2 linked regions of the Oryctolagus cuniculus genome follow. The protein of the gene in region 1 interacts with the protein of each later gene in a pairwise test. Links are inferred from orthologs where the notes say so. Each region holds a gene or a part of one and is shown on either strand. Other genes may lie near its edges.

The links.
Region 2: the proteins of RELA (region 1) and NFKBIE interact in binary tests that used the Homo sapiens proteins (3 or more experiments, as listed by UniProt). The link is inferred for Oryctolagus cuniculus from reciprocal best matches to the Homo sapiens genes RELA and NFKBIE.

What each region holds. Positions count from the first base shown.
Region 1 is NC_091432.1:6,042,636-6,045,076, reverse strand, and holds part of RELA (transcription factor p65), read right to left. Parts: intron 2,419-2,441; coding exon 2,314-2,418; intron 2,196-2,313; coding exon 1,983-2,195; intron 105-1,982; coding exon 24-104; intron 1-23. UniProt on the Homo sapiens protein: NF-kappa-B is a pleiotropic transcription factor present in almost all cell types and is the endpoint of a series of signal transduction events that are initiated by a vast array of stimuli related to many biological processes such as inflammation, immunity, differentiation, cell growth, tumorigenesis and apoptosis.
Region 2 is NC_091436.1:125,868,227-125,872,483, reverse strand, and holds the start of NFKBIE (NF-kappa-B inhibitor epsilon), read right to left. Parts: upstream 2,801-4,257; 5' UTR 2,584-2,800; coding exon 2,210-2,583; intron 177-2,209; coding exon 74-176; intron 1-73. UniProt on the Homo sapiens protein: Sequesters NF-kappa-B transcription factor complexes in the cytoplasm, thereby inhibiting their activity. Sequestered complexes include NFKB1-RELA (p50-p65) and NFKB1-REL (p50-c-Rel) complexes.

The sequences.
Region 1 (2,441 bases):
TGCCCCTCCGCCCGCCGCCTCACCGCTGAAAGGGCTCTTCTTCATGATGCTCTTGAAGGTCTCGTAGGTCCTCTTGCGTTTCTCCTCGATGCGGTGCCGGTCGTCTGGGAGAACGAGAAGTGGGTCCCCTCCCCTGGGTGGGGGAGGGGCCAGGCCTCCCGGAGACCCGCCCCCCAGGCCCCCCAGCAGGAGCCTCCCTCAAGAGCCCATGCGGCCCCCTGAAGCCACGGGCAGCTCTCCTTCCCACTCGGCTGCTGCCCGGCCCGGCCCCGCCTCCGCCCTGCCCGAGAACCGCTGTGGCCCTCCCTGCTTCTTCCGCAGCTCTCGGGTCTCTGATCCCACAGACCGGCCGGAGCCAGCCTCATCTTCCTCAAAGCCTGGATCCCGGTGCCGGAAGATCACTCGCTCTCTGCCTTTCTAAATGTGTTTTTTTTTTTTTTTTTTTGACAGGCAGAGTGGACAGTGAGAGAGACAGAGAGAAAGGTCTTCCTTTGCCATTGGTTCACCCTCCAATGGCCGCCGCGGCCGGCGCACCACACGGATCCGATGGCAGGAGCCAGGTGCTTCTCCTGGTCTCCCATGGGGTGCAGGGCCCAAGCACCTGGGCCATCCTCCACTGCACTCCCTGGCCACAGCAGAGAGCTGGCCTGGAAGAGGGGCAACCAGGACAGAATCCGGCGCCCCGACCGGGACTAGAACCCGGTGTGCCGGCGCCGCAGGCGGAGGATTAGCCTAGTGAGCCATGGTGCCGGCCATCGCTCTCTGCCTTTCAAGTAAATGAAGGCAAAGCAGGTGCCCCACAGCCCGCGCCTCCTGCGCGCCCACTGCACTGCAGCTGAAGCCGGGACCCAGCCTCGCTCCCACTCCCCGCCCCCGCGGTGCCCTCCGGGCACCCGAGCCGTCTGTGCCAGGCCCCTCTGGCCCAGGGCCTGAGTGAGCACACGGGGGCCTGAGTGAGCACACGGGGGCCTGAGTGAGCACACGGGGCCTGAGTGAGCACACGGGGGCCTGAGTGAGCACACCGGGGCCTGCTTGCCAAGAGGTGACACAGCGACGGGAACGCAGACAGACCCCAAGCTTCCGGCCCGGAACGCCGAGGGTCAAGGAAGCGTGGCCACCGCCCCGGAAGCTGGGTGGGGGGTCTGATTTAGGGGACCTGGCAAAGCGCGCCGAGCGGACCGGCAGGTGCCGCGGCCTGGCCTAGCCGTTCCTCCCGCAAGGGGCTGAGCCTCTCCCTGGACTCCGGCACCTTCTTCCAAAGGCCACCCCGCCCGAGTCTCCCCTTCACCCCTGCACGTGGCTCCCCACTGCCATACGACAGAAGCCCGGACAAAGGCCTGCAGCCTAGCGAGACCCTCCCGCCTGGGCCTGCTCCCTGCCTGCCAGCGGCTCCCACTACACAGCTGCCCGCCAGGCTGTGCACCTGCCCTCGCCCTGCCTGCAGACGGCACAGCTGCGCCCCTCTCCACGGTGAACGCCACCTCGCGCCCGCTGGAGGGCTCCAGCTGCCACCTCCGCCTCGCGTGTCGCCCTGTGACGCCAGGACCTCGTCCACATGTGTCTTCCTCACGTGACAGGGCAGGGCACGCGGCGCACTCATCTCTGTCCACACAGGGGGCTCAGGCCCCGGGCTCAGGCGGCACCGGAGACCAGAGCACACGGCGGCCGGGTAGCACGGTGCCGGCTGCCGCTGGCCGGCCCTGCAGCTGCGGCCGGCGCGATGCTGCCTCCTCCCCAGGAGCTCTGCCAGACGAGGATGAGGGCAGTGCTGCGATGCGTGCCGGCTGCTCCTCGGGCTCAGGGAGACTTGGGGACTCTGACTCCTGTCACGCGGCCCCTCGCAGCAGGACGTCAGCTGACGCAGCCGCGCCCTCACCACGCACACGCCGTCCAGCCCCGAGACTGCTCTACGCAGACCCCGAGCTCGGCCCCTAGGTTTTCCGGCCTCGCTGGACGGGCCTGCTCCCACCGCAGCTGTGTACCTGTGTCGGGCAGGTACTGGAACTCCATGGGCTCGCTGAGCTCGCGGTCCGAGGGCCTCCGCAGCTGCATGGAGACGCGCACGGGCGCCTGCAGGCCGGGGTCCGCGTAGGGCGGGGTCCGGAACACGATGGCCACTTGTCGGTGCACGTCCGCTTGTGAAAAGGAGCCTCGGGCCTCCCAGCCCGGTCCCGTGAAGTACACCTCGATGTCCTCTGCGAGACGGGGGAGGGGTGGGGGTCAGCTGTCCGGGGCCCAGCGCACCGCGGTCCACTGGCTGCAGCCCTGCCCCTCCCCGCCCGGCGAGGCCGGCCCTGCCTGCCTCCTGTGTACCTTTCTGCACCTTGTCGCACAGCAGGAAGATCTCGTCCCCGCCCAGGCAGCTCCCCGAGTTGCGGTTCACCCGGCAGATCTTGAGCTCGGCAGTGTTGGGGGCGCCTGAGGTGTGAGGGTGAGGAAGG
Region 2 (4,257 bases), on another chromosome or scaffold:
TGGCACTGGGTTACCCGCGCGAGCGGCCAGGGCAGACGTGGGCACCTGAGCACTGGCCCTCCTCCCCACCCACCTGGTAAAGGTTGTTCTGAATGTCCAGGACCTCCTGTGGCAGCAGAGCCAGGCAGCACAGCAGCATGGCGGGGGCTTCGTGGATCACTGCCAGGTGTACCAGCCTGGAGGAGCAGCGCAGGGCTCAGGGTCAGGGCCCGGGCCGGGGCCGGGGCCGGGGGTGGGGTCTGGGAACTCGGTACAGAAGGCACACAGCAGCCTCTAACTAGCTACCCACGGGGTAGGTGCAGGAAGTGAGACTTTGAGCCAGGAAGTGAGGGTTGGTGTGGAAAGCCAGAATCCCGTGGGTGGGAGCTCCAAGTTCCCATCCCTGGCCTTCAGGAAGGCTTTGGCTGGGTGGGCACGTGGGCAGGGTGCTGACGGCACAAGGGCCTTCCTGTCCGGCCTGCCCACACCCCACTCTCCTCTGCCCCCGGGGCCCTGCCCGGCCAGCTGCTGCTCCGGGGCAAACTGAAAGCGGCCGGCCTGGTGAAGAGGGGGTTTTCCACAGCCCAGGGCCCCACCTCCTCTCCCCAACAGGGAGGCCAGTGGGAGGCCGATGCGGGGTCCCACCCTGGCCTCTGGGTGTCACAGAGTCCCAGGGGAGGCAGCCAGCCCTGCTCCCACAGCACTGCCCAGAGACCCACCCCTGTGGTGTGCACCACCAAGGGGAGGGCTGGGCAGTGCACAAAGTGTGTGGCAGGGGCAGGCAGGCGGGGGCCCAGAGCTTCTGCCCTGGGGTGAGGGGGGCGGCTGCAGGGGAAGTTCCAGTCCTGGGGTTTCCCCACATCAGGTGGGGAAAATGAAAGCGGAGCTGGAGGGTCTCAGCCAGGACAGCTGCCTCAGGCACGAGCCAGGGGAGTAGCTGCCTGGGCTGGGGAGGGGGCTGCTCAGGCAGGAGGGGCCGGGCTTTGGCCCAGGACAGAGTGAGAGGGAGGCAGCAACGGCTCTGGAAATCCCCTCGGCCAGGGCCTGCCCTCTGGGTCACATTCCTGCAGCCACCTCCCTTCTTCCCTGCAGCTCCCCGCCCCCTGCCCCCTCCCACTTCCTTTTCCCACTTCCACACCTCCTGCGGCCCAGACACCTCCAAGGCAGGCAAGGGCCCCTCCTCTTCTTTGGTGGCCGCGCTGGGGAATCCTGACACTTGTCCCTCGGCTGGACCCAGCACCTGGCGCTAGCCAGAGCTGGTAGAAAGGGTGGCGTTAGGCAGTGTCAGAAGGCTCCACTCCCTGGACCGAAGGTCAGCATGGAGCCACCAGCACCTTGGGGTGCTGGGCCTGGGGGCTGCTGATCCAGGCTCAGAGTCCCAAGAGGCCTGTGGTGATCTCTGTGAGTGTTCAGAAGTGCATCTCAAGGAGGCGAGACGGGACAGGAAGCTCCTGCCTCCCCTGCCCGTGCATCTCCGATCTGGACTCCAGCCCTCCCCTACTCCCCTCCCCAGTTTTGGAGTTCAAAATCCCGGCCACTCCCTCTTGTTGCTGGTTTTCTTCTTCCTGGGGGCCAAGATCTTAACTGGCTTGTCCATCCCACCCTACAGCTGCTTCTAGTTCAACTGCCCCCTGTCCGAGTCCCCGCCAAATTCCACCTGGGCCCCGGGGAAGGGTAAAATGAGGGCGGAGCACAGCACACAGAGGGGGCTGGGGGGCTCAGGAGATGGAGGCTGAGAGGGAGTCTGGCTGGCTCCAGCCCTCACTTCCCCTTCGCCAACAGACAAGGAAGTAGGCCCGGGGCATCCAGCTGCCTGTGAGTCTGCTGGGGCCAGTGCCCCAGGCTAGCTCGTCCCCTCCTCCTTAGGGCCAGCCCCAACCCTAGCACCTAGCTTTCCCGGCCCTGACAGCAACCTGTAACTGGCACCTCTTGTTCCTTGAGACAGGGCATTCTGAGGTCAGGAGCAAACAAGGATGCCCCCTCCCCCAGCAAGAAAACAAAGCTGGACTGGTCAGGGGAATTCTCTCTTCCCAAGAGTGGGTTAGTGGTGATTTCCAAATGCTGGCCGCCTAGGTGAGGGCGTGCCAGCGCTGCCCATCCCCTGCCAGGGGGCCGAGTTAGGTGTGGAGTGAGTTAGGAGCTAGGTGTGGACAGTGGGGCTGTCCCTCCCAGGGCGGGTGCCTGCAGGGTCCCCCCCCCCCCCAGGTGCAAGCCTAGCTCCCCCACTCACGTGTCTCCGTCTTCTGAGATGTAAGTGAGCGCTTCCAGCTGCTGAGGGCTCAGCGGCCCCGCGCGGGGCAGCGGCGAGCCTGGGGCCAGGGCCTCGGCCTCGGCTTCTGGGCCCCCCAGCAAGGACAGGGACTCCGTGAGCGAGGAGGAACCATAGGTGGAGTCAGCCCGCTCCCCGTCGGCGTCTTCCTTCTCCTGTGGCACCTTGGTGGTCCCCCGAGGATGGGTCCAGGGCTGGCGTCCGCCGCCGTCCGAGGGCGCAGCGGCTGAGGTCGGCGTGGGCTCGGGCAGGGAGCGCAGCGACCGCAGAGACTCTATGCCCGAGTCACACTGGCCCTCGTCCGCCTCGTCCGGCTCCTTGCGCGCCTCCGACATGCCCGCGGCGCCGGCCCGCGGGGCCCGGTGCGCGCAGGAGCTGGTGCCGACCCCGCCGCGCCGCCTTTCCGGGTCGCCGGTCCGCCTGGCAGAGCGCGCGCCCGGCCGCAGCGGCCTCGCTCCCGAGCCGCCGGAGTCCGAGGGGTCCGCGAGCGCCGGCGGGGTCCGCCGCAGCGGGTACCCTGGACAGCTGGACCGCCCAATCGGGTCCTCCCCGGGCCCCGCCCCTCGGGCCAACGAGGGAGCCGCGCGCCCGCCCCGCCCCCGACGGGCGCTTCCGGGCCGAGGCCCCGCCCCTCCGGAATCCCCCTTTCCGCGCGGCGTGCGTAGGTTCGGGGTCTGTGGTTAGCTGGTCCTGACTCACTGCTCCGGGGACGAATTCGGCCGGCCGGGCGGCCGTGTGTCCGTGCGTCCGTCCGTCCGTCCACTCCTTTTTCCTTCTCCATTCTGCGCCTTCATTGCATCCATTCATTCTGTCCTAAACTTCTGTGCCTTGATCCGCTGGTTTGATTTAGGGGGATGTTTCTTGGTCGTCTCCACGGGCTGGGCTGCTGCTGGTGGGGTGGGTACGCGGCTGGTGGGATGGGCTGGCGTGGCTTCCTCCCGTTTCTCTCCATTTCCCTTGCTTTCTCATCTTTCCTTATTAGGACCCAGGAGTCTGGGACGGGAGGGGGAGAGGGCACCTGTTATCCTAACGGAAAGGGGTGGGAGGGGCAGTTTTTCCTTGGGGTCCCTGTGTCGGTTCCCCAGGTCACGTGGATCGGGCATGGCGAAGTGCTTTTGCAGAGTGAGCTTTCGCAGGCCGACTCTTGTCTGAGCAGCACAGCGGGGCAGGGGGTTTCTGGCCTCAGGCGGTTACAGCGTCTGGTTACCCCTCGCGGTCAGGGACGTTTAGTTCCTCGTGGTGGGGCCAGGATGGGGAGGCCCCAGACATGCCGGGCTGCACTCTGCTGAGGTCTCCACCCCGCCCCAATCCCAGCCCCCACGACATCTGCGCTCCTTCCCTGTCCCTGCTTTCCCAGGCCGGGGCGCCACCCACAGGTGAGCCCCAAACAGGTGCCCCATGATTTACTCCTTTGTTGCTTCTTCCTGCTCCCAGTGCACTGCCAGCCTAGGGCCAGCGATGCCCGTAGGGTCTCATCACGGACAGGTCCACCACTCTCCATCTCTGGCAGTGGGGAAGCAAGCTGGGGTGGGTGTCGTGGGCACTTGTCCACTCAGCCACGGGACAGCCATGGACAGAGTTTCTGCGTGGCTGGAGGTGGAACCAACTGTCACAGCAATGACCAAGGACCTTCACGCCCATCTGCAAAACACCTCCCACCCCCTCCCTGTCCTCACAAAGCCCCCCTGGCAATTCCAACAGAGGGTGGCTGTGCTAAGACCACAGTGAGAACAGCTGTTGTGGGGACACAGAGTGGGGCCAAGCCACCCACTGGAGTGAGGGGCTGGGAAGCTTCCCTGGGAACAGAAATGGGAAGGGAAGTGGTGGGGGCAGGGTGGGGGGGGTAGAGGCTTCCCCAGAGTTTTGCATCCCCTGGAGGACCGGAGTGGGAGGATGTGTCAGCATGAGACAGCCAGGAGCCCCGGATGGGGAGAAAGCCCCAGGAAGCCATGTCCCTCCCTCCCTTGGGGTCACTGATTTCAGATGTCCTCAGCCTCCTTCCCTGACGT